Caenorhabditis elegans: one gene and its partners. The protein of the gene in region 1 interacts with the protein of each later gene in a pairwise test. Each region holds a gene or a part of one and is shown in the gene's direction. Other genes may lie near its edges. The genes, in order: nfm-1, aly-3, C27H5.2 and spk-1.

The links.
Region 2: the proteins of nfm-1 (region 1) and aly-3 interact in a two-hybrid assay, tested with the Caenorhabditis elegans proteins (one large-scale study listed by BioGRID).
Region 3: the proteins of nfm-1 (region 1) and C27H5.2 interact in a two-hybrid assay, tested with the Caenorhabditis elegans proteins (one large-scale study listed by BioGRID).
Region 4: the proteins of nfm-1 (region 1) and spk-1 interact in a two-hybrid assay, tested with the Caenorhabditis elegans proteins (one large-scale study listed by BioGRID).

Annotation. Positions count from the first base shown.
Region 1 is NC_003281.10:6,157,757-6,165,095, forward strand, and holds nfm-1 (FERM domain-containing protein), read left to right. Parts: upstream 1-1,732; 5' UTR 1,733-2,122; coding exon 2,123-2,344; intron 2,345-2,474; coding exon 2,475-2,690; intron 2,691-3,036; coding exon 3,037-3,255; intron 3,256-3,331; coding exon 3,332-3,466; intron 3,467-3,513; coding exon 3,514-3,648; intron 3,649-3,723; coding exon 3,724-4,026; intron 4,027-4,069; coding exon 4,070-4,219; intron 4,220-4,320; coding exon 4,321-4,408; intron 4,409-4,880; coding exon 4,881-5,151; intron 5,152-5,262; coding exon 5,263-5,437; coding exon of another isoform or gene 5,438-5,449; exon of another isoform or gene 5,450-5,642; coding exon 5,643-5,858; 3' UTR 5,859-5,863; exon of another isoform or gene 5,864-5,870; intron 5,871-6,536; coding exon of another isoform or gene 6,537-6,587; 3' UTR 6,588-6,829; downstream 6,830-7,339. Other genes in the region: F42A10.9 (Gamma-glutamylcyclotransferase family protein), read left to right, coding at 6,896-6,987, 7,047-7,143.
Region 2 is NC_003282.8:12,121,469-12,125,312, forward strand, and holds aly-3 (Chromatin target of PRMT1 protein C-terminal domain-containing protein), read left to right. Parts: upstream 1-1,813; 5' UTR 1,814-1,845; coding exon 1,846-2,053; intron 2,054-2,103; coding exon 2,104-2,223; intron 2,224-2,270; coding exon 2,271-2,362; exon of another isoform or gene 2,363-2,778; coding exon 2,779-2,905; intron 2,906-2,955; coding exon 2,956-3,131; 3' UTR 3,132-3,341; downstream 3,342-3,844. Other genes in the region: M18.6 (CULT domain-containing protein), read left to right, coding at 1-134, 185-410, 458-1,009, 1,059-1,299; dhhc-6 (Palmitoyltransferase), read left to right, coding at 3,484-3,606, 3,654-3,844.
Region 3 is NC_003280.10:7,153,737-7,161,488, forward strand, and holds C27H5.2 (TAR DNA-binding protein 43 N-terminal domain-containing protein), read left to right. Parts: upstream 1-1,844; 5' UTR 1,845-1,946; coding exon 1,947-1,971; intron 1,972-3,314; coding exon 3,315-3,407; intron 3,408-4,130; coding exon 4,131-4,253; intron 4,254-4,296; coding exon 4,297-4,422; intron 4,423-4,514; coding exon 4,515-4,618; intron 4,619-4,683; coding exon 4,684-4,959; intron 4,960-5,005; coding exon 5,006-5,088; intron 5,089-5,137; coding exon 5,138-5,240; intron 5,241-5,287; coding exon 5,288-5,499; intron 5,500-5,547; coding exon 5,548-5,656; intron 5,657-5,772; coding exon 5,773-5,876; coding exon of another isoform or gene 5,877-5,913; exon of another isoform or gene 5,914-5,947; coding exon of another isoform or gene 5,948-5,969; exon of another isoform or gene 5,970-6,273; intron 6,274-6,657; coding exon 6,658-6,727; coding exon of another isoform or gene 6,728-6,775; exon of another isoform or gene 6,776-6,878; intron 6,879-6,970; coding exon 6,971-7,111; 3' UTR 7,112-7,225; downstream 7,226-7,752. Other genes in the region: fust-1 (RNA-binding protein FUS), read left to right, coding at 356-393, 601-739, 785-1,394, 1,443-1,547; C27H5.12 (Ferrochelatase), read right to left, coding at 7,612-7,743.
Region 4 is NC_003281.10:9,455,755-9,463,518, forward strand, and holds spk-1 (Serine/threonine-protein kinase spk-1), read left to right. Parts: upstream 1-1,773; 5' UTR 1,774-2,229; coding exon 2,230-3,269; intron 3,270-3,346; coding exon 3,347-3,461; intron 3,462-3,514; coding exon 3,515-3,763; intron 3,764-3,869; coding exon 3,870-4,178; intron 4,179-4,229; coding exon 4,230-4,469; intron 4,470-4,763; coding exon of another isoform or gene 4,764-4,940; intron 4,941-5,311; coding exon 5,312-5,392; intron 5,393-5,438; coding exon 5,439-6,161; intron 6,162-6,208; coding exon 6,209-6,309; intron 6,310-6,352; coding exon 6,353-6,506; 3' UTR 6,507-7,253; downstream 7,254-7,764. Other genes in the region: rheb-1 (GTP-binding protein Rheb homolog 1), read right to left, coding at 1-56, 183-255; B0464.6 (uncharacterized protein), read right to left, coding at 7,367-7,570, 7,628-7,721. UniProt on the Caenorhabditis elegans protein: Required for embryogenesis and germline development in both adult hermaphrodites and males. SR-protein kinase (SRPK) that binds directly to and phosphorylates the RS domain of rsp-3/CeSF2 in vitro.

The DNA of each region.
Region 1 (7,339 bases):
CACTGAAAATATTTTAATTTTTTTGAGTCCAAATTTTTGAAAAAAAAAATCAGAAATATAACAAGGAAACAAAGCACTTTTAAAAGTCTATGTATATCTCTATTTTCTTCCGCTTTTCACATGTTTGTTTTTCCCTCAAAATCTCCAAAATTCTTAAGTTTACTCCTTTTTTCCAGAAAAACTCTAATATTTAAGTGATAACACCCACGCAGAGTGCAATTAAATATCGATACAACAATTCATTATCATCATCAAATAACAAACAATTAACAAATGAGGCATCGACACTCTCGAAGTAGCACAAAAATTGAGTGAGGTGGCTCTTGCACAGAGAGCGAGAGCATAAGTGTGTGCTCTGGCTCCGCCTATTTTTTCGGAGCTCTGGGAGAGAAGGATAGAGAGAGAGAGAGGGAAGAAGGGATTTCCCGAGGCTCCCGGCAGGAAGTGTTGGGAGCCAGACAGTGGGAGCAGGCACAGAGTACGAAGAGCAAAGTGGAAAGATGGGAAACAACAAATTATGTTATGAGGAAGTTTTTTGGCAGATTGGTTATGAAACTTTGCAGAACTTTAATGCGTTACTGTAAATTTAAGGGAAAGTAGGTTCCATCGAGCGTACTTACGAAAATTGTACTGTAGCTCACTATCAGTACACTGTACTTTCGAAACATTTTTCTGGATTTCATCTTTCTGGAATTTTTGAATTTTCAATATGGAAAAAATGTACTTAAACTTCATTCGAAAATTATATGACTTCAAAGGAATAGGGAGGTTAATCGAAAAGTTACTGAAGTTTTCGAATTTTTGTTGGCCATTTTGCTTACACAAGTGCGCCCCACTTCACACTGATGTCTCTTTTGAAAATATAATAATAAGTCAATCGAAAAATACCGATTGTGTGAATTTTTCTATACTGTCCCTATTCCCCCTTTCATCTCCCCCCATTGACCACTTCTCCCCATCCCCTCCTCCTATTATGCGTAACACCCGGCATGTCTAGGCCACGAAAGTTGTGGTTCGTCGTGCAGTCATGTCCGAGTGGTTAAGGAGATTGACTAGAAATCAATTGGGCTCTGCCCGCGTAGGTTCGAATCCTGCTGACTGCGTTAAATTTTTTTCAATTTTTTCGCACATTTTTTTCGTTGTAACTTCGAAATTGTACAAAATGAAAATATACTTGATAATAAACCAAAACGTGCAGTCATGTCCGAGTGGTTAAGAATGTCCGAGTGGTTAAGGAGTTTGACTCGAAATCAAATGGGCTCTGTCCGCGTAGGTTCGAATCCTGCTGACTGCGAATCTTTTTGAATCTCGTCAGTCGATGTAACTTTTGTATCGAAACCATTTGGAGAAAAACGATGGAGGAGGAAAGGGCGTGTTGACATTATTTTATTTATCGAAAAACTGAAAATTCTTGTTCACACGAGACCAGGCCACATATTTTCACAATGCGTCATATCAGTTGGGGGCATTGAATCATTGTTCTTCAATATTTTTATCAGTTATTCTTCAATGAATGCACCTGGGATTCCATACCTATCATCATTATGAGTGTTGAAATATTGTTTCGTCCTCTCTTCCAATCATCTTCTCTTGTTGTTAGTTCCAATGCCTCTCCTTCCTCTCATATGTTCTAACACTTCTTGTGAGACAGACAGTTGGCATAGAGTTCCTCGACGCAGATACCTATACAGTTACAACACTATTTGCCCTGGGGCGTACTTACATTGATTTTCTTCACTTTTCTTAACTATTTAACATACTTTTTTTAAGATGGGCTTCATCTCATTATTGATTTTTCACCCTAGAGAAACCAATTCAGTACTTCGGAGACTATAGAACTTTTCTAACTTTCCGAAGTTTTAAACGGAAATATTGGAATCCACGTTATTTTCTAATTGCCTCAAACTGAAACTATCTGAAATTTTTATTTTCAAAGAAACTAAAAAAGCAATTTTAGTATCTGAATTTTTGGATGTTGTTCTTACTTGACGGAAAGAAAATACGTGCAATACGTTCATGTGCAGACAACGGTCTTTTTTCAGAAATGAATAATAGTTGCTAGTATTATTTTTTTCTTAAACTTCCAGGCTAATTTCACCTACAAAAATTCCAAAAAATAGCAATGGGTGGATTTTCGATATTTTCGCGAAACACGAAGCCCATTTACGCAAAAGTGAGCACAATGGATGCTGATTTGGAGAAGATTGTAATTGAGAAAACATGGACAGGAAGACATTTATTTGAAGCAGTTTGTCGAATTATTGGATTACGGGAAACTTGGTATTTTGGACTACAGTTCACAAATAAAAAGAATATTCCATGTTGGTTACAGAATGATAAAACTGTGAGTTTTTGTTGAATACATTTTTGGGGATACGGTATTTCCAACAATAAAACCAAATTCTAATTATCAAATTAAAATATTTTGGGAAAAATAATTTCTCTGAAAATAATTAATTTTTGAAATTTTCCAGATCTGTGGCCAAGACATCCAAAAAGACACATCTGATGGAACTTTTAATTTCTTATTTCTTGTCAAATTCTATCCAGAAGACGTGGAACCTGAGATTATTCTAGATGCCACTAGACATTTGTTCTTTTTACAAATACGAGAAGCAATACTTTCAATGAATCTATATTGTTCACCTGAAGCAAGTGTTTTATTGGCCAGTTTTGCAGTTCAAGCAATGGTAAGATTTTTGTATTTTAACTGGGTTTTACAAAATATGAAAATGCCATTTAAATTCCTTTATTGAACTTTTAAAAGATCGTCAGTTGAGAAAGTGTTTAAAATCACTCATAAAATTTTTAATATATTTCTGAAAAATTGAGAATTACAATATCGAAATTTACCAAAACTTTTGCTGTAAAATTTTGAAAATCTAAAATTTTCAGAAAGGATATTTGAAGAGTATTTGAAAATCCCATTTTCTTCCAGAAAAATTGGCAAAACATTTTCAAGTGCCTGAAAATGTTTCTGAAAAACTATCTATATACACTTTATTCAAAATCTAGTAAAAACGAATTAATTTTCAGCATGGCGACTGTACAGAAGAAGTTGGTCCAATTGATCTTGACAAGCATTTACCAAAAAGTGTGATTGATCAATATGATATGAGTGCTGATATGTGGAGAGATCGAATAAAACGATGGTGGTCACGGAATGCAGGACAATCAAGAGAAGAAGCTGAACTTGAGTATTTGAGAGTTGCACAGGATTTGGAGATGTATGGAATATTATATTATCCTATTTGTGTAAGTTATTTGAGAGATTCTGTTTGAACGGTTGTGGACATTTGAATTTGAGATACATAATTTTATTTATTTTCAGAATAACAAAGAAACTGACTTACATCTTGGTATATCCGCTCAAGGGTTGGGAATCTATAAGGGAGTGAATCGAATAACACCTCGGCCGTTTTTTAGTTGGAGTGAGATTAAGAATATTCAATTTAAGAATCGAAAGGTAATTTTTTTAAAATTTTCTTTTCACGATTTCCATTGTACGTTCAGTTTCACATGAAAACCGTCGACAAATCCACAATATCATTTCGATCACGAGAGACATCAATTGATTCTTCAATATTGGATCTTTGCATTGGAACACACAATTTGTATTTAAGGAGGAGGCAGCCAGACACGTTAGAGGTATGTGTCTTTTATAGTAGGGCAACTTGAAAATTTCTATTCAGTTTTCTACGAAATGATAACTGTATATTTCAGGTTCAACAAATGAGATCACAAGCAAAAGAAGACAAGCAACGTCGAGCAGCAGAACAAGCAAAAGTTGCATTGGAACGAAAAGAGAGGCAGCAAATGGAAAAAGAATATAAGGAAATGAAACAAAAAGTTGAAGTGATGACTTTGGAATTAATGAAAGCTCAAGAAAATATACGAAAGGCAGAAGAAGCGAATGATCAATTAGCAGAGAAGGCACGACACAGTGAACATGAAACTTTGATGTTGTACAAGCAAAAAAGTGAAGTTGAAGCTGAATGTAATCGATTAAGTATGAATAATATGAAGGTAAAAAATCAAATTAATTATGAAATTAAAGTTTAATTTTCAGTCCGAAGAAGCTCTGTTGAGAATGGAACGAAAAGCTCGGGAAGCTGAGATTTTGGCAAAGCAGATGTCAATGTCACTAGCAGATGTAAGCCTTGACGCGAATCGGAAAATGACACAGTATTCGAGTCAGTCTGCGTTGATTATTGATCCGGTAAGTTAATGGAAAATCTTCCCATTTTGAGTAAATCTTGACAAAACCGTAATGGGATTGATAGAGGATATACTCGATTAATACGGTTTAGAAACTTTCAGAATTGGCATCAACAAGTATCTGGTCATCAATCAGGTCATCCTGGTATGCCATCAACAGGATCATTTCATCAACTGCAATCACTTGACAGTTAGTTTTTTTAAAGGCACAATAAAAAAGTCTATTCCAAAATAGTATAGAAGTATAATATCTATAGCAACTTTTGCATGATAATTTTGGCAATGGGCGTAAAACTATGTTTAAAAGTTAAGAATAAAAGTTTGCCGAGTCAAAAAAGTCTAGATCACATAATAAAAACCGACCCCCTAATCAGTTTATCGAATTTTTTTTTGATTATGTAACTTCAACATTTTCTCACAGCCAGGTATTTGCAAAGTTGCCTCAAAAAAGAGAACACTAAAAAATATTTTGGTAATGATATTATAAATTCAAGATCTTCAAATGAGAATGTGTCTAGTTGTAAACTAATTTATTGTTTGTAATGCCAATTTGGGAATGAAATCGCAAGCCAAGTTGCTACTGTTTTTGACCAATCCACGTCTTGTTAGAAATAAGAAATAAGAAAAATATGATTATATTTATACGGAAACAACATTTTCAGCACACACTCATCCTCAACAAATGATGTCTCGAAGTCTGAATATGCCATCATCTGCATTTTCCTCCCCAATTCCTTCAAATCAACCACTTTCTCATCAACAACCACAACAAATGTCTCAAAATACTCAAGCTCATCAACAACAAACTCAAGTTCAAAATCAGAATCAACCGCCATATTACGGAGGATCTGGTATGATTATTCCACCACCCGATCCTTCAATTAGTCAGATTTTCGAGCAACAGACTACTCTGATGGAGTTGGAAAAATCAAGGTTAGTTTGGTAATTAAAAAAAAAGGATAACTGAATTATATGCTAGCAGAGTTGAGCAATGGAGGTACAATCCTAATAGAGAATAGTATGTGACATTAGAAATTTTTTCAGGTCAGAATACGAAACACGAGCGCGAATCTTCAAGGAGCACCTGGAAGAATTACGTGGCGATATTGACGGCCTGAAACGAGACGGTAATGTACAAAATGGGCAGCATCGAGAGCATGATGCGGTTCATGCACAAAATGTGGCACACGGTTTTGATAAGTTCACGACGATGAGAATGGTAAGTAGATAATTTAGCAAGTTCTGTTAGCATGCTACCGTTCTGAACGGTTACTAAGCTGATCTCATGATCAGAAGGTCAAAAGTTCAAAAAGTTATTAAATCTCTTTTTCATCCTATTCTATTATATGTTAAGCTTCTAATTTATTAAAATTTCGCGCGTTTGGCATTTGTAAGTTTGACGCTTAACTTCGGAATATCTCCAGAAAAAATCAAAAAGCGCAAGCTCAATTGGCTCATCGGGTTCCTCCGATTCCTTGGAGCTCAATACTGTCGCTAGACATGTGGCGGGACGAGGGATTCCACGTGTCTCTACAGTATCCACTACGAGCTCGTCAAGTATTCTGAGCCACGTCATGATGCTGCATAGACAGCAGTCTTATGATTTGGGAAACACTGAATGGCAGGAAGCTGACATTTGAATATAGTGAGAAAATAGTGCCAGAGTTTGATTGTTGTGTGGTAGAGCGTGTTTGCATATTGACTAATTTTCCAATTATTGTTTTCTAACACTTGTTGATTGGTATTTTTGTTAGAGTTGAAAATAAACATTCATGGTTCAAGCGCTCTATGAATAAATTCAATAATATGCACACTGTAATTGTTTTTTTTTGACTTAAAATTTAAAAATCAGGAATCGCAACAATGAACGCAGCGCGAAAAATATTTCTTAGAGCGCAATCGTTACGTCGGGTACTGACACGAGATTATTTTTTCCGCTACAGTATCCAATAGTAGACGTTCCATCGTTTATTTGGAAATTCTTTTTCTTGAGTTTTTATGTTTTTGTAGTAAACCTATTCAGGGAAAATAAGATTTTCACAACAAAAACTCGAAAAATTTTTAAAAATAGAAAGAAACAAGAAAAAGCAAAACCCAGGGTACGGTATCTGAAAAGTTTCGCTCGCGCTAAGACTTTATTAATTTTATTAATTGATTCAAAAAATCACACATTTTTTAGTGAAACTATATCTTTGAATTTCACAAACCTGTCCGTCGGTGTATTTTGTTGTGATTTTTCAAATTTTGAAATGAACATTAGTGTGGTATTGATTGATTATTCTTCTCATTTTCCAATTATAATTTTCTTATAATTTCAGAGTATGCGAGGAACTCCACGACAACGAGCACAAGCTTTTGATGGAATGTGATAAGAAACTTTATGGCCATTTATGAACCGATTTTCCTTTTTTTTCTTCAGTTTTTCCCCATCCCGATAAGAGATAACCCCATTTTGTGCTCATTCAGTTTATTGATTTTTCCACACCCTTTTGCCATTTTTCAATCAATAATCTTTCGTGGCAAGACAAAAACGCGTATTTTTCTTCTTTTTTCCGAAAGGCATATTGTGTAAATATACATATCGAATGATTGATGAATACAGATTTTTTTTAAATGTTTTTTTATTAACTTAAAATAATGAAAAAATCTGTAATTTATTAATTCATTTCCAGCAAAAATGGGCGAAAAATTCAAGGTTTTCGTGTATGGAACCCTGAAAACAGGAGAGCCAAACTACAAGGTTCTGTCAGAAACTGACGGAGAATATCGGTAAGTTCGGGAGTACTGAAGAATTTTGAGTGTCAAATGTGATGCATTACTTCTTTCAGATTCATCTCATCTGGAACTACAGTGGAAAAGTTCCCATTGGTAGTTGGAACCAAATATAACATTCCATTTTTGCTTGATGATGCTGGGAATGGAAATGTGAGTTTTACAACCTGAAGTTTATTTAAACCGACGTACTTTGAAGCATATTGACAAGTAATTAAAAAAAAAGAACGAGAACGGAATCAGCTTTGGCAGGGAAACAAAGATGAATAAGGAAATTTTAAAGAAAGAAACAGAAAAATGATTATGCGCACGGTTTAAAGGGAGTATAAATGCCAAAAACTTGTTTAGA
Region 2 (3,844 bases), on another chromosome or scaffold:
TGACGTGACTCACAGATTCGATTATGCTCTTCAAGACAATGAAAATAGAGAAAATTATGAAAATGAAGCCAGACTCACAGATTATGGAACAAATTGGTTTCCGATTTGTGGAGTCAGTGCTGTTTGTTTTCCTGGTGAGTTACATTTAAAAAGAAAAACCTCCCGATTTCATATTAGTTTACAGGGCAACAACTCCCGATGAAATTCCACGATGATGAACGAGAAATCTATGAAAGACTTGTATCGAGTGCTCGAGCTAATGGATTTGTTGTACTGTTTCCATTGGATATTCCAGAATGCACATCACTCCCATATATTGCTACACTTTCTAGAGTTGTTCAAGCAAATTCTAACGCTCTGAGTATGGAGTTGATGGGCGTCTACAGATGTAAAGTTTTGAAGTATAATTTGTAAGTTTTACGAAACATAATTTCCTTCTAATTTCTTTCAAATTCAGAGGGCGTGGTGAAGCAGAAGTACAATTGCTACCAGACGTCGAACTTCCATCGTTACTTCCATCATTTATTCCGAAATATGCAATACATTTACCTGCTCACGAAAAACGTTCAATTGCAACCCGAATCAATGGATATCCATTCAATGCTATTCGAGATGTTACAGAAAGTGCTGTGAATGAATGCGTGGGACTACTTTCAGGAATGCTTGGAGATGACACTGTGAGACAAGCTAAAGATCGTGGCCTCACATACTTCAGCTATTTTGCTGCAAAGCATATTTTCTCTAATCGGCTAACTGAGTACAGTCTCTTGAAAGAAGATTCAGCGAACGGTCGTATAGTTGCTGCTCTGAAGTATTTCAAAGTATTTGTCGGGAGATGTTCTAGATGTCGCATTCCAATTTTCCGCAATGAACATATCATGAGGCTTCCAGATCAAACAATGACTCATGTTAATGCTCACGGATTTGTTCACAAAATTACCTTACTGTCAGAAATACGAAACTATGATCGAGCTACACCACCATCATATGAATTCACATGGTTTCCAGAGTCAGCTTATTCAAATACCTCTTTATCATTAAATTAGTCAGATTTTCAGGTACGCATGGATTATCATTCAGTGCTCCAGATGTCATGAACACCTTGGATGGGAATATATCAGCATGACTCGTGAACCACGACGCTTTTTCGGAATTCAACGAGAAGGAATTACGTTTCAAAACGAATTACAAGAAGGCGATACAGAGGAAAATTGGGATCATGTTCCAGAGTTTGACAACGATGATCAAGAAGAAGAAGATGATGCGATGAATTTTATACGGTTAATTCTGCGTCGATGAATACTGTATCCTATTTAGTTACTTTGCTAGATATACATCACTGGTCTCAAAATAATTTTCAAGAATGATTTTTCGTTGCCAATTGGCCTTAAGAAGTAATAAACTTTTTGTATGAGCCACTCGTTGTGTCGTTAGTTTTAAATACTTGTTTCCATCCTTTTTCTTACTTTGAATTATTATTTGAAAAACGTTAAAATTTCTCTACACTGATTTTAAGCTGTCAATTTGTTTGTTTCCCTAATTCTCTGCAAAAAAATGTGTTGAGAATTTTATTCAAATAAGAGGTAACGTATGCTGTTGACCGCGTTGCGTACGCGTCGCGGTCACCAAACGCAGCGTTTTTCTCAGTTTCCTCATTTGCTCATTCCTATCTTTTCATTCATTATTTCTCATTCCACTTTGGTCTCCGCTACATTTGCTCTTCCGAATAATTATAATTTTTTTCTTTGTTTTTTCCCGTGAACTTACTTTTGATCTTAAACCAAATGTTGTCGTTCTAATTCAATTGAAAAACGTTTCAGTTTCAACTCCAACAATCTTCGAAAAATGGTTAAGGCTACCAATGTCGATTTGTCTCTTGAGGACATCATCTCTAAAACCAGAAAGACAACTGGAAGCATTCAAAAGAAATCCTTCGGAGGAGCTCGACGAGGAAATACGAGACCCACTGGACTTCCACGCCGCTCCGGCGGAAGTGGTGGATGGAAAGACTTGGACGCGGTTCAGAATCATGGAATTTCAAGCAGAGGAAATGGTGGGTTTCAAATCAATATGTATCTTATTTTCTACTCATTTTGATTATAGATAGCAAGGTTATTAGAGTAAATATCTCTAATCTTGCCCCAACAGTCATTTCAAGCGATTTGGAGGAACTCTTCGGCGACTACAGACTCAGCTCAGTTTCGGTCAACTTCAACGAGCATGGTAAGCTTGATAATATATGCAACCGTATTGAACCAATTTATTTTCAGGTGATTCATTGGGTACTGGTGACATTTCGCTCACCAAACGTGATGCTGAGAGACTTGTTCAGAAGTTTAGCGGTGTCGCTCTAGATGGAAAGGTATTGCATTGGGATACAACAAATCGATAACAAAGACTTTGAAACAATCAATTGGGGCTGAATCCTGATTAAAGTGTGTGCTCCAGCGGACGCTCCTGAATGCGTTCTGTTCTTCTTCTACCAGTTCACAGAAATCTACTGTACGCAACAACAGACCCAGGCAATCAGAATCTCGTTGTTTCCTTTCAAAAAGAGACTTAATAAACCTGTGTTGAGGTTTTTTTGTTGAGTGTGGCCGTTCATTCGATGAAGCTCGTTGAAATTAGTTTTGACCCGTGTCGTGAGATGGATTGTGAGGGGAAAGCCGTTGCTGTCGACACGCATTAATTGATTGGCTCGAGACTTGGTTATTCAAGATTTCTCCGTTACCCAAATCCTGATCTCAGGTGACACAAAATGGAACATGAATATTTCAGATCATGAAATTCGCCGTCATTGATTCGAGCAACATGGCTGGGAGAGTCGATTTTGGAAACAGATCTCGTAGTTCACCGGGAAGATCATCTCGTGGATTCCAATCGGGTCCTCGCAGAAACAATGGCAGTACGTTTTAATGATTAAATTGTGTTCACCAGAATAATCTTTATTTTCAGAACCAGAAGATTTCCTCCGCGACGGAGTGCACGCCGGTGACATCAAGAGAGGCGGAGCTGGTCGAGGTGGATTCCGCAAGGGAGGCCGTGGTGGAGCTCGTGATGCAAAACCAAAGAAGACCGAAGCTGAACTCGACGCGGAGCTCGAAGCCTACATGGCGAAGCGAAATGCCTGAGCACTTTTTTTTTAAACTATAAATCACTTTTTGAACATTCTTGATATCTGCTATAATCTCTGATCCTTCTGTTGTTCTATCACATTAATAACTCGGAATATTTTACACAATCACCAATTTTTATATTTATCGTTCTACTACTTTCCTTTCTCGTGATCTTTTTGTCCACATTTTAAAAATTCGATAAAATAATAAACTGAGCGTCAATAATTTCTTATTGGATCAAGTATGAAGTCGATTTTCGATGGAAGAATATCGTTGTCAGTTATGTGGATTCACCCAGGTCGCCACAATTATGTTCGAAATTTGATTTAATTTTAAATATTTTATTATTGAAATTTAATCAATTCAGATGACGGGTGAGGTGGTGGAGACTCCGGATTGGCCTGCTCCAATTGCAGAAATTGGAGATAAGCCTGTATTTAGACGAATGTTCCATTTTGGAACCATTTTTGCATTCTCCACAATAACCATGGTATTTTTTATATAATTTTGATCATTATAAAATAATATTTGATTCAGATTGGAGCAGTAACAACATTTTTTGCTCTTCAGTGGATGCCTGTTACTTCATACATGGGACTTTTCAATACACTAACATTTTTATTGTGGAATTATTTAACAATAGGAAATCTCTTCAACGCTTCATTCTTCGGTCCAGGATATGTGCCACGTGGCTGGAGACCAGAGAATGCAGCCGACGAGAAGAAACT
Region 3 (7,752 bases), on another chromosome or scaffold:
CAGTGTCCGCAATGAAGCACAAATTCATTGTGCTTTATCGATTTGTAGGGCTATGGCCCGGTTTCCTTCAAAATATTATGCAGTTCAGCTATTATTACGTGTGTTCGGTATCAAAACGAGTCAAGAGTGAAGAACAAATGAAGTCTACCAAACGACTTCGAGCGTGCAGGAGATGCTTCTGTCTGAAATCTCTCATGCTTGAAAAATCTTAAAATCTAAATGATCGTGTTTGTGCGTACAAAAAAAAATCAATTGAAGGTGTATTATTGCGCGGTCGAAATCTGAAAACATTTTACTGTGGTGTTAGCATGAGAGAAGAAGACAGAAGACTCCATTCAAGAATGATGTTTTGCAGACAGGGCGGACCTCCAGGAGGAAGAGGAGGTTATCAAGGTATTGAATACGTAAATTGCTTTATCTTTCGTACCACAACGAGTTTATTACCAAAATTAAAAAAAAATGGGTATCCTACCGAGTTTATCATCGAAATTCAAAAACAAAAAACATTAAACGAATATAAAAATACTTGTTCCTGTGCTTTATATTATTGACAGTTGGACGAAAAAATTGTTTGTAAAAGTTTTCATATTTTCATTGCAGACAGAGGACCCCGACGTGACGGACCACCAAGTGGAGGAGGATACGGAGGCGGTGGTGCTGCTTCAGGAAACCGCGAATTCGGATCCGATGGGCGAGTTGAGTTGAAGGAGACCGTCTTTGTGCAGGGAATTTCCACCACGTATGTTTTGTAATCGCCCAATTAAAAAATGTATCTATATTTCAGTGCAAATGAAGCCTACATCGCCGACGTCTTCAGTACCTGCGGAGATATTGCAAAGAACGATCGCGGACCGAGAATCAAGATTTACACCGATCGCAACACCGGAGAACCAAAAGGAGAATGCATGATAACATTCGTCGATGCTTCTGCAGCTCAACAAGCTATAACTATGTACAATGGGCAACCATTCCCTGGCGGCTCAAGCCCGATGAGTATTTCACTAGCCAAGTTCCGCGCTGATGCAGGAGGTGAACGAGGTGGTCGTGGTGGACGAGGCGGTTTCGGAGGTGGTCGTGGTGGTCCTATGGGAGGACGTGGTGGCTTTGGCGGTGATCGTGGAGGATATGGCGGCGGCGGTGGTCGTGGAGGATTCGATGGTGGTCGCGGTGGTGGCGGTGGATTCCGTGGCGGAGACCGAGGAGGATTCCGAGGTGGTGATAGAGGAGGCTTCCGCGGAGGAGATCGTGGAGGATTCCGAGGCGGCGACCGTGGTGGCGATCGTGGAGGATTCAGAGGAGGCCGTGGAGTAGGTGGCGGAAATGCTAATATGGAACAAAGGAAGAATGACTGGCCATGTGAGCAGTGCGGAAATAGCAACTTCGCTTTCAGAAGAGTTAGTTAATTTTGTTTTTTCAAAAAAAAAACACGGGTTTTCTTCTAGGAATGCAATCAATGCCAAGCCCCGAGACCAGATGGAGGATCCGGAGGTGGTGGTGGCGAGCGACGAGGAGGACCACCAGGAGGTGACCGATACCGTCCATATTGAGCCATCAACTCGTCTCCCCATAAATTTTAACATCTAATTTAAATTCTCTGATCTCTTCAATGTGAGAGACTTGTAACAATTTTATATCCACCTTTATATTCTACTTCGATACATTCAAATTTCAATGTTCTTTTTATATTTCATTTTTTCCCACTTTTTATTTTTAACGAAAATAAAAATTTTTGCACATTAACATCTGTTTTTTTTGCAATTGTCCGCATTTCCCTACCCATCAGCTGCTTTGCGTGTCACTGTCTGTTTTCTCTCCGCACTTCATCTCTACGTCACACTATCTGCTTCTCCATCTCTTTCGTCTCGACCTCCCTTTGCCTCGGCGCCCACCTCTCATTCTTCCAATTTACCCGGGAGAGACTGTCCGTTCGAAACTTCGACCGACTAATGAGCAGTATTACAGGACTACAAGGTAAGATTCGAAGAAATCGCTATGAGAATAGATTTTTAGTAAGATTATTCTCGCATATTCAGAATAAAAATATAAAACTATCAATGAAAGTTATTTTAGATTCAGAATTAAAGTATAGTTCTTAAACTTTATGATTGATAGGCTCTACGAACATTTAATTTGAAGATAAAAACGTAGAAAGTTACATCGTAATTTAAATAGACTCTGACATGCCTTCACAAAGGCACACGGATTTATTCAGATGGGTCTTCGCGCGCAAAAAAGTTAATGGTAGTTTTTTTTAAATTAATTTTCATTATAATTTTAAATCTGATTCTGAATAACCAGTAGTTTTTATTGAAAATAAACGCAGTCGCTAAAATCCAAAAGCAGACTACCATAAACTTTTTCGCACACCAAGACCCATCTGAATATATCCGTGCGCATTAATCACAACCAAGGGTGTCAATTCCCGTTTCCCGTTTTTCCCGTTGTCCCGTTTTTGGGGTGTTTTCACGGGAACGGGAATTCCCGTTGTCCCGTTTTCGAAATTTTTACGGGACATTGACACCCTTGATCACAACAGCTGTTTGATTTTCAATAATTACATCTATGTAGTTGCACAAGTATTCAATTTTGAAAATAGTTTTTTTGTTTTTGAACTTTCCTATTGAAACTATTTGATAATGGTTAATGAACATGGGTCTCGCCACGCTGACAACGGGTTACTGTAACTCGTTAGAACTTACAGGTAGATATTACATCATATTTTTGTTTAATACAATTCCGCCACCAGTACCTCGTTTAATTTGAAAAGGTTGATACAATCTCGGTCCATAAATTAATATGAGCTACAGTAACTCGATGTCCGCGTGGCGAGACCCATGCACGTAAGATATGGCGAAAATTCTAATGTGCATAATAGGAATTCAATTTTTAATTTTTTTTGTGTGGTTTATTTTATATAAATACTCTCCTCGCTTTCAATTTCATTTTTTTAATTTTTCAAACTCAAAAAACACACATAGAAACACATAGAAACAAGAAGCTCTTTAAACATTTTCAATTCTTTTGTCCTTCTCCTCATTTTTTCTCCGGCACAATGAGCTTATTCGGTCATGTCAATGTCTGAGTCTCTATATCTTCAGTTGATATTTTGCCTATTTACCCAATGACCTACGAATCGTGTTTCGAATCAAAAACTTGAAAAAATTTGTGTTTGCCTACATTTTTTTGCCCCACACAATTTCATCTTCTTCAATACCCGTAACTACTTATATAATTTGGTTTCATATCTAATCAAACAAGTAATAAAACGGAAGGAAGATGGGAGATATTTAAAAGTAAAATAGATATGTTTGCAGTTAAATCTCTTCGAATCGGGGTGGAACCTGTTGAAGTAGAGTTAGATGAAGATGCTGGTATCTTGTGGACTTCACTTCAAACTGCATTTCCAGGTGGGTTACTGTAACGGAACACAAGAAGATAATGCATTTTAATTTGATGCATTCAGGCTTGTGTCAAACAAAAAACTTCTAGAAAAAATAGCAAGAACATTTGGATTTGGCAGTTGTAAAACATTTTTAATCAAATCATAGACAACCGAGAAGCTAATAGAAGAAAGAAGACAGTTCTTCAGTTTTTCATAATTTTTGTGACTTTTTTCAAAATAACAATCAACACGAGTACACTGTAGGTACTGTAGCCAGAAATTTCCAAATTCTTGTTGAATTTTCCTTTTTGTGAATGTTTTCATTTGACAACACACAAACTGTATCATTTTTTGATGATTCACGTGAATTTCTGCTGACAAGACAAATAGATAATAGCGGAACAGTCCGTGTTATTTTTGTTACCACACACCCCTCTGATGTAGGCATCAAACATGTCACCTCACCCATAGAATTGTTATCACTTCTCATTTCTGCTAACCTTTTTCTTGGTTTATTTCAATGTAATCAAATCGAATCAACATGTATGCAAAGTATGCGAATAATTGCAAAAGAATTGGCGCCCAAAAAGAGAGAGAGAGAGAGAGAGAGAAGAAGAAGCTTTTCTTATCTGTTACAGTCTGTGTCTTATTGATCCGTATATTTTCTCAAGGGTTTTACAGAAATTGATAGCAGCAGGAACTGGAGAGAATGAGAAAAAATGAAAATAAATAGGAAAAAAAATTACAGGATGTTCTGGGATGTACTACCGAGAAATCGGTGACTCATGCAAGAAATCAGTGAAATTTGATGGAAAAAAGTTTATGGCTCCTGGCGGAGCATGGAATGATCGAGAATACTTTGTGACTTTGAGTAAGATTTACCACAAGGACATACCGCAAACAACTTTGTTTAGGTCAAAGATGTCATACAGCTGCTGGAAATTCGGGACATACTGCTTCTTACAGCGACGCCACAAAACAATTTGAAAAAAGTGTGCAAGCAGTGCAGAAAATGATGTTGGCTTCTGGAATGAAAATAGGTGAGAAGGGTCATTCAGCACATAATTTTCATAATTTTTACCATATGAAATCAATTTATTCCTGAAATCAAACATACAAACTGCTCTTTGAGATATGAGCCATCTTACAAAGAAGCGCCAACACACTTCTTCTCGTGAAACAGCTTCATCAACTTCATCATCTACAGTAACCCCTGATCCGATTCAAGCAATTGAGGTAGGTATCCTTTATTTTGACATTTTTATTCACAAAAAGATGTTTTCACAAAATCAATTTTTTAGGAACGCTCACAAATGTTGAAAACCGCTGGAAGAGAACTAAGCCCATTGGAACAACAATTTTTGGATTTATGCCGTATTTCAACTGCGAAAGATCAGATTATTGATGCCAATCGACAGGAAATCACAAAGATGAATGAAACGTTACGAATTTTGGAAAAAAACTTGAAGGAGACCGAGACAAATTTATCTGAAGCAAATGCGATGGTTGATTGCAAACAGCAGGAATTGGAAATGGTCAGTGAAGCATTAAAACGATTGGAAGAGTCGAGGCATACTGTAAGACAAAGATTTCCAGTTTCAAATATTTATTGATAATTTTCAGATCAGCGAGTTGAACCGAAAATCTGGAAATTTGGAGGAAAATGTTACCGAGCTGCAAATGAAATTGATGAATGTAGAGGAGGAGTAAGTGGAGGTGAATAGCAAACGTTTCCATATTTCACTAGTATTTCAGAAATCACGGACTAAAAGCTCAACTTGAAACAAGTCACAATAGAATAAAAGAAATGTCTGATACTATATCAATGCTTACTTCATCAAAGGATATTTTGTCAAAAGTAAGAACAATTGTTATTCAGATTTCAATAAAATGTACCTACTTCAGGAACTGGATCAATTGAGACCATTCGCAGATGCAGCTGGAATTGAGGATTATGAGAATATCCCAACGTTTATTCACGCAATTCAGGAAAATAAGGAACTTCGGAAAACAAATGAAAATATGAAACTTCAATCAGAAGAAACAAAAGATAATCATAAACAGATGCAAAGTATTCATACAGAGGTTTTCGAGGAAAATGCTAAATTAAGGAATAGGTTAGATTGATGGAGTTATTACAAATTTTTGGAAAATTTATAATTTAGAAACGAAGATTTGGAACGAAGATTTGCACATGTTGATGATGAACTCGCTTGTGTGAATGAGAATTGGGCAAAAGAACTGAAAGAGAAACAACAAGATTGGGATAAAGTTGTAAGTTTCTACTTAAAAAATTGAATCGAAATTGGGCGGGATGAAAAAGAGACTGTTAGAAATCCATTTCTAATGTTTAATAGTTATTTTATGCCAAAGAAATTAATTAATTTCAGAAATACGCAGCAGAATCAGAAGTGTTATCTCTACGTGAACAACTTGTCCATCTTCAATCAATTCTTGAATCAGCAACCCGGGAAGCAGCAGAAAATGCTCGAAGGTCAGCTGATCCTCTGCTCGAGTATTCTCTTATCTAGATCACTCTTGCATTTTTTCTATTTTTTAATTCAGAAACGTCATCTGGGACTGGTAGATTCGTAGACTTGGTAATTGATAATTCGAATATTTTTATTATTTTTAAACCATAATCTGAAAGAAATCTTAACAGTCTCAGTTGATAAGTAACCAAAATAATTGATTGAATGCCCTGAAAATGCACAAATTTTCGTTTCCTTCCAACGTACCTGGAACGTTTTGATCCATATTCCTTTTATCTCACTTTTTCCCAAAAAATTCCGGTTTCTTCCGTTTAACGGTTTTCCTTCTCGGTTATGCTCAACCCTAATCAGTTTTCGTATTTGTAAATAGTTTTAAAATGAATAAAATTTTTGGATTCATAACCGTTTTTGTTCAATAGCAAGGAATACCGTTAAATGGGAGAATCAACTGCAATATCATTTTAAAAATCTGTTATTTTATAGGCCACTTTTCCATTCCAGCACAGTTTTTGAAAACTTTTTGTCAAAGTTTTGGCAAATTGTCTCAAAATCCTGGACTTTTTGAGAAATTTATAAGGACATTTTATAGGGCATTCTTGATTATCAAAGCTCTACTAGGTTTGAACATTAAAAAAAATATAAATAGTAGAAAAGACAGTTTTTGGTAAACTTCCAAAATTGTAGTAGCTGAAAACTATTGAAAATTTATGAATATTTTTGCAAAGTTTAATAATAGTTGTGAGATTTAATTGTTTCAAGAGTGTTAAATCTGAATAATTACAGAGTATCAGAATTGGAACATGAACGTCATGAAGTTCGACGTCTCTCCGATGCAATGCATATAAAAGCTCAGGTGAGCGGCAGTCCAGTCCATCGTCTGTCGTCTTCAATTCGCTTTTAACTAAAAAAACCCATTTGGCTTATCATTTCATTATGAATCAATTTCACAAAATCACGACACATATCTGATTATTTTAAGTTCTCAATAAATTATTTTTATTTCATGTTTTTGCTGTGAAAAGCTGATTTTATGTTTGCATGGCTTCGCTTTAAATAATTTCAAATATCTAACATATTCAATTTCCGACTATTCCAGGAAGATCTAGCCCGTCAAGTGAGAGTTTTGAAAGAAAGACTCGCAGAATCGGATAGTCAAGTTGCTGAGCTCAATGTGCTTGTTTCTTCGTTGGCAGCAGATGCCACAGCTTCACGCAGAGAAATTTCAGATCTTTTGTAAATAATTCGATGAAAATATTTGATGATAATCCGAGTGTGCTTCAGTTTCTATCTAAAAAATAACGGCGTAGATTTAGAGTATGTAATAAAGAGTTTCTTCACTGACTTGTAAAAAGTATGAACAGTTTACATATATGATTTAATTTTTATCGGTACAAAAACTATACTGATTTGGGCTAGTGCTAGGTCTAAAAATTGCTTGATAATGAGAAGTACTGTGTTTTTTCACTACAATTCTTGCTGGAAAAATTAATGTTGAATGGGAAGGACTGAAAATAGTTTTAGCAGCACAGAAGTTTGACTAAGAAAAAATTATCAATGGGAAAAACTGAGCCACCTTTCATCGTAAAATCAAATCAAAAACGAGAAAATACGTTTATATTTATGAATAAATTGAAAGTAATAAAATATATAAAGGCACGTAATTGAAAAAGGTTAACAACGGAAGCATTTAATCAATTGATTGGCATTCTATTTTGTTGAGTGTATTGAATATTTTCTTCAACAAGTTGAACTCGAAATACAAATCCATACCCTTAACGGTATCAAGGGAAAAACATCTTTCGATACATTGTTCAAAATCTTGTCCAGAATTATTTCATTATCAAACACAGCGTTAATTGGGTCAAAGTTCTGAAATGC
Region 4 (7,764 bases), 3.3 Mb from region 1:
TTCATACCTTTCAGGGAAAATATTTTGTGTGAAACGAAGTACCAACGCCGATTTTCCTGTAAAGTTTCTCAACGTGAATGTCCTTGTTTAAATAAAGTTGTTTTAATTTTTTCATTGCTTTGTTCAATTTTGCTCCCGGTATGTTTGATTTTCTACAAAAAAAAGTTGTCGTAAACGCTCACCAACATGAGGATATCCCATAACGGCCACTTTTCGATTCAGACTCTGACGATTTGATTGCAGCGAACTGCTCATCTTCACAAAAATGAGTATATTCTGAATATTGAATGATTGAGTTTTGATAGAAGTATAAAAAATTAATAAATAAAATAAAAAGGGAAAAGTAAAAAAATTATTTTTTTAAACACTCATCATTATTTTTAAATTCTCTATTAATATTTAACATGTAGAAACAAAGAAATGATGTACTTTTGCAATAATATGCGCTTTTTTCCTGATAAAACGAACTAAAAACCAACTGTAAATAGAGAATTGCAGGCGAGAGAGCGTGTGAAAATAAGAGACGGAGGCGCATGATACACTTCTTGGCAGCAAGCCAAACCCACCGTACCCAAGCAAACCTGCAGATCAAACTCGAGATCGATATTTCTGGCGCAAAACGGCCGCCAATTTGAGCCCTCCGCGTTGAAAGCGTTATTATCATTCGAAATTGGCATAGGTCTTATCAAGAATTATATTTTATGTTTGTACGGGCAGATATAATCTTTTTATCATCATTTTTGTTGTTCAATTAACCTCCGCAAACTTTTAAAAACTCAAAAACATTTTCCTCTGAAGTGTTTTCTTGTTTTCCCCGAATTTTGATGAGTCCTATTTTATTTATTTGTATCAATTTCAGTGAAACGAACCGTGTTTAAGTGTAGAATATGGGCGGACCAGAAAAAAACAGCACAGTACCACTGCCAAATAAGAAAAGGAAGAAGAAGACCAATAAGAAAAAGGTGAGCATTTTTCGGTTTCTGTTCAGAAGTTTTCCCTTTTTCTAAACACTTACACTTTCGAAAAATTAAAGCTCAGTCTGTTCTGACACTAAATCGAACCCAAAGAATACTCTTTTTTTCTAATGGCCTCTAGAGATTTGAAAACTTCAAACAGCTCTGTCGCATTCCCTTCATTTCACGCACTTCCGAGCTTACTCTCTTGGATGCGAGCCCTCCACTAATATATTCTCACATCAGTTTTAACTTAGATTTCTCCTTTGCCTCAAGTAAAATGAGAACGGCTTCATTATGAGCCAGTGGCAGCCGCTAATGACCCAGGGGTAGAGATAACCACTAATTTTCTTTTCTTACACTAGTTTTAAAACAAAACAAAGTGAAAATTTATGAGCATGCTTAGTATTTTGCATTCAATACATTGGCTATATCGCCGATTGAATGTGAGTTTAATAGAATTCTGCCATTAAGCTTTTTTAATCTTCATATTTCAGCCCACAGCACCAAACACGCCTACATCTCCTCAAGCGGGTGAGAAAAACGCAAATTTGAAAAATGGAACAGTTACAACAAACGGATCAAATCACGTGGAAAGGTGAGATTTTGAGTTTTTTTTTTTAATATGCTTTAATTACATCGCTGAAACCGGGACCAAAATGATTATAAGTTGTTTGGTGTAATCGTTGCATCGTCCTTTTCTCATGACAGCAACTGGTTGTCTTTTCACTTCGTCTCAAATGATCCCACCTTCGTGTGTCCGTCATCCATCCACCCATCCATCCATTCGTCCCTTCTTTTCTATCTTCTCTATTCCTTCACCTTGGCCTTTTCTCTCTGTCAGCTGTCTCCTCTTCGCGACCTGGCCGACAAGTTGAAGATTGAAACAAGGAAGAGAGACCCAGGATTTCCTCTATCTCTTGTTGGGCGCCGCAATCATTACATCACTATCACTTGAACACTCTTCCTTCTCACACCGATCGCGTTTTCTTCAAGTCGCTCCTCGCGCCTCGTTGGCCGCCGCCAATATTCTCGAGACACTTCTCGCGCCGCTGATCTTCCTTATCCCCCTTCCCACTCTCAAAGCGTCGCAACTCGCTTCTACGTGGTCGCTATTTCAAAAAAAATCGCCTGCTTTTGAATCCAGTTTTCTTCTGTCAGGCTGGCCGGTCGAGCAGTACATTCGCTCTCAGCTATCGATTACTCGGGTATAACAAATGATGTCGAAGCAGGCGGCTCCTTCAGCTTAACTGACGTTTTCCCCACTGTCATATTCATGTTTGTGGTTCTATTCTGTAGATGGCTCAATGGCTTCAGCCAGCATCGAGAACGACTTTATAAATTCGAAGATGAAGCCGTTCAGAGACGCCGCCGTTTTCGTGTTCATTCAGAGGAATCGGAAGAACTGAATGACCACGAATCGTATTCTGAAACTGATATTTGTACACAGCTTTTGGCATCATCTGCAGACGTAACCTGTCATATAAATGTTGATTTGGTCAACCAGAATCGATTTTATTTCTTTGTAAAGCAAAGAAATAAAAAAGAAAATTCGACCAATGAAGAAGAAGAAATCTCTTCCCAAGAAATAAATACGAGTACACAAAATGAAGAGACAGAAGTTAATTTAGTGTTCGCTAGTGCGGAAGATAATGGAGGCGTCGCGTCGAATTTCGATATATCAGACGCTCTAATGGTTACCTCTAACATTTCCGAAGTCAGTAAACTACCGGAAACGTTGTGCGAAGAGGGTGAAACTGTACAACAAAAAAGTGTTGTAAATGAGAATGATCATTCGAATGAGGACGATGAACAGTCGCTACAATCACAAGATGGTTCAAGATGCTCTGATGAAGACATGAACTCTTGCGTATCTGCCTCAGATGAAGAGGACGTTGAATCTCAAGATGATTCTTTTCATGTGAATGATGCTACCGAAGAATCAATTGATTCGGTAAGCTCTATTGAATCACAAGAAGCAGAAGAGTCAGCAACTGAAGATTTGGCGTCGTGTCATTCGAACGACGATAAAAATGAAAAAGATGTTCTTGTCGATGAGGACACATCCAAATACGATAACCTTCCGGTGGAAATGCGGTCAGCAAAAGAGGGTGAAGAGAGTGAAGGGACGATCGATTCTTCAGTCTCCTCGTCGACATCGTCTTCCTCAACGGGCGACGACGGGGACGACAGTGCTACCTCTTACGACTCAGAAGATATCGAAATTCAGATGTTCGAGTATGATCTGGGAACCGCATGCGCTTCAGCTTCTATTTCTATTCCTCGTCCATCTATAATTCCAAGAAATAACAAAAAGTAACATTTATTTTCCATTAACTAAATTAGTATTACTAATATCAATCAGAAACTGTCTTTTAATTTACATTTTTCAGGACCGAAGTCAATGCTAATGAAGAGCGTTTGGACGATTTAAGTGTGAGCCCCGGACGAAGTGATTCTCCTGGAGGCGGCGGTGGTGGACATTCAGATTCATTCCAAGATCCAATGGTGAGTTGATTTTTGCATTTCATTTTTTTGTATTTATACATATTTATTTTCAGGATCCTGGAGAACAACTTGGATCTGACGATGAAGAACAAGAAGATCCACGTGATTACAAACGAGGTGGATATCATCCAGTCAACATTGGTGATGTATTCAATGCGAGATATCATGTGATTCGTAAACTTGGATGGGGTCACTTTTCTACGGTTTGGCTGGCGTGGGACACTCAAGACAAACGATTTGTTGCCATGAAAATAGTGAAGTCAGCGGAGCATTACACGGAAGCGGCTCTTGATGAAATTAAGGTTAGTTTTGAAGTAACGTAGTGCTGAAACAATAGATTTTTATGCAACATTCTCTGAGACTCGAGAAAAAAAAATTAAGACTAATATAAAACGAGAATAATTTCAGTTGTTGCTATCCGTACGAAGTGCTGATCCAAATGACATCGGATGCCACAAGGTTGTTCAATTGCTCGATGAATTCACTGTTACGGGAATTAATGGTCAGCACGTTGCTATGGTGTTTGAAGTTCTTGGGTGCAATCTGTTAAAGCTGATTATACGCTCAAATTATCGAGGACTTCATCTGGAACAAGTTAGGAAAATATGCAGACAAGTTCTGGAGGCGTTAGGATATATGCATGAAAAGTGCGGCATCATTCATACTGATATTAAACCTGAAAATGTGCTAATCACGATGAGCCGAGAAGAGATCAAGGTATTTTTTAAAAACCATTAATTGTGGAATTAATTTTTCAAAATTTTACAGATTATGGCTCAACATGCTGTAGTTGCCCGGAAGATGAATATGAAAATGAGTGGATCGGCTGTCAGTACTGCACCGGATCATTTGGTGAAAATGGCTCAGGAGAATATGACGAAAAACAAGAAGAAAAAGATGAAGAAGAAGGCCAAAAAACAACGAGAGAAGTTGGAAGCGGAATTGGCTGGACTCGAAGGCCTCAAAATGGACGCTAATGGGCTGCAGGAGGCATACAATAATGCACCGGTAAGTTGAACACTATACCGTTCTTCTTCTAATAGTATTGCACCCCAATACTTGAATTTTTAAATTTGAAAGAATATATCTCTGTTCATTTCAAAGATATCATTTCACATTTTAATTTTGAAACGATAGAAAAAGAAATAAAAAAGTATTTTCTTAGTTGACAAACATTGGAAAAGTTTCGATGTGCAATAATAATAGAGGAAATACGCTGGTAATTTTTAAAAAATCAAGATTATACTCTATCAATCATAATTTTTTAAAAAACGAAACAAAAACGATAAAACTGATATATAGCAAAATGGTGTCCGAATGCGTCCTCCATCTTTGCTCTTCAATGGTCCGATTCCCCAACTGCTTCAAGGCAGTTCTTGTGTGAATACGCCATCGTCTCCAAGAACGGTTCCACCGCCACCACCATCTCTCTATCCACAGGTTGGATGCGTCTGCAATCAGACGTATCATCTGACACAGGTGATCCTGAATGCGAATGTTGGTGTGAGTGTTTGGTTGTGTTGACATGATGATGGTTCCCTTCTACTCTCTCTTCCTCGATTCACACACTTATTTCCACTCTGCAACCAAAATTACCGGAAGACGCTTGTATATTCACACGTACCTCATTTCTCCTTCCGTTTCTTTATTTTAAAATTCACTGACTATTTAGTTTCGGTTTTTTTTGCCGCTGCGCCCTGGATGCCGTCTGCATTTTTTCGTCGTTTCGTCTTTGTTGCAGAAAATACATCAGTGCTGTATCTAATTTTTATCATATATAAGCTTAAACATGTTGTGAATTCAGTTTAGAAAAAAATCTGAATCAATTAATTTAATTTTTATTTTTTCAGGAGTTGGAGAACTTCAACGCTTCACAAGTGGAAGATGTCACCATGGAAGATACTGTCAATGAAAATGGAAACAGAAACAAGGTATGATATATTTCATTTTTGTAGCCACAACCATTTATATTTTCAGGTGGAAATCAGGAGCCCTGATCGTTTCGATAGAACCACGCTGACTCCATTCAGTGATCCGGAGAGCAAGTTTGGAGATTTGGCCTCACCATCCGCCGAATATCTGAGCTCGCCCATGAGCCAGTTGCCTCCAGGTGGTATCCTGCCTGCTCCTCCAGTTGGCCCCAACATTGGTGATCCATATTGTGACATCGACGTCAAAATCGCTGATCTCGGAAACGCGTGTTGGGTGAATCATCACTACACGGACGATATTCAAACTCGTCAGTATAGAGCACTTGAAGTGTTGATCGGTTCAGGATACGGACCTCCAGCTGATATTTGGAGTACCGCGTGTATGGCTTTTGAATTGGCAACCGGTGACTATTTGTTTGAACCACACCAAGGAGATAACTATTCACGCGATGAAGATCATCTTGCGCACATTTCCGAACTTCTTGGAGCAATTCCACCGTCAATTTACAAAAAGGGTAAACATTGGAGAGAGTTCTTCCACAAAAATGGACACTTACTTCACATTCACCAACTTAAACCATGGTCACTATACGAGGTTTTGAGACAAAAATACGAGTGGTCTCATGAAGACGCGCAGCAGTTTGAAAGTTTCCTTCGTCCGATGCTTGATTTCGATCAGGAGAAACGATCTACGGCCAAAATTGCATTGAAACATCCGTTCTTGTTACCATTTGGAGGAAGAGCGCCAAAATCTGATTGTCCACCTGAGGTTTTATATTAATTGTCTGTTCAATATTTTCTCTATAATTTTTACAGCTTCTGAGCAAGATGTTTCCGGATGGATTGATTCCCGAGCCGTTCGACGGAAATGAGCATCAGGAAGTTTACCGTGACGAAAATGATAGTAGATCGGCGAGGTTCGTAAGCTCGGACCGACGCGGATGTAAACGCAAATTGCAGCGAGAGGAGTGCCAATAGCAGGTCTGCGGGCGGCAGCGACGACGACGACGAGGAGGAGTTCAACATGAATCGACCTGGTCCATCGGGGGTGATAACAAACAATGAAACGACCGACATTTCTGACATTGAACGCTTTCAGCTGGATTTGCAGTAGTGCACGAATCCCTCCTGTTTGTTAACACTTCCATCACCGTCTCGTCACTCTTCAACGCCCTCTTGCACATCTCCCGAGTTAAACATGTTCTCCTGTCAATTTGACGATATTCATCTTTATGTTTTTCCTTTTTTCAATCAAATTTTACTCGTTTCTTGCCTACGATAGGTGAAAAGAAAACACTTCGGGCTAATTTTTTTTTTCAGCATTTTCCAATCTTTTGTTCCAGAGTGTTTACTTTTATGTTTTGAATCTAGACAGTGTTTAACTTATTGTTTCGGATTTCAACAATCATCCGACTACTTCATCTCCCCATTCTCCCTGTCACTTTCTACATCGAATCACCGCATCCTTTCTCTTTTTTACCACCGTTCTTCCTGAAGTGACTGAGCAGTAAGCACGTTTAGCGCCACTCTCGTGCGCGTCTCGTTGAAGCGCCTTTTGATCTTTAGTGCTACTGGTATAATATAATTATTTTGTACGAACATCGTCCTTATCCTCTGCCCAACAACATCATATGCTTCTATCAGCCTCAAACAGTAGATCATCTTTTCCCCCCATTTCTTTTTCATTTATATTCCTCCGTCTGTTCACATACCCAAACTATTTGGCATAAACCTTTCTCAAATCTTTACTGTGCTTCATTGCTTCCTTTCCCCTTCTCTCTCTCTCATTATCTCGGTTTCCTCGTAGACATAAATGATTGAATTTTGTAACGTTAGCGAGATAAAAAATAATTGATTCATGTGGGTGGTCGTCGAGAGATCGTAACAAAAGAACAACAAAACAAAGCGGGAGAAAATAAAAACCTGTTAAAGGATACGATAATAAACATCATATAAAAACTTGAATTGAATTTTTCACGCCAGGACGTATGTCATGTTAATTCCTGATGGTCCGATTGAGGTCTGATCCAGATATCCATGATTTTCATGTTTCACAAAATGAATAAATTGAGCGATAGCACGGAAGAGATTGGGTGATTGACGGAGAACGTTGCACTTAATTGCATATCCATTTTCATCAATGTGCACAAATTCAGCGTGTGGAGGAGATTTTGTAACCTGAAAAAACATTTCTTGAAGTGAGGAGGAACAAGAGTGAATTATTATAAGCCATACCATGTGAAGATAGAAACTGAATGGAGTACGTTGAGCAGATGATGGTTTTTGAGCATTTTTGACACAGAATCGGCTGGTGAATGGCTGGTCAAGGCTGAAAATTGATTTAATTTTTAACACAATTTATTGAATTAAAC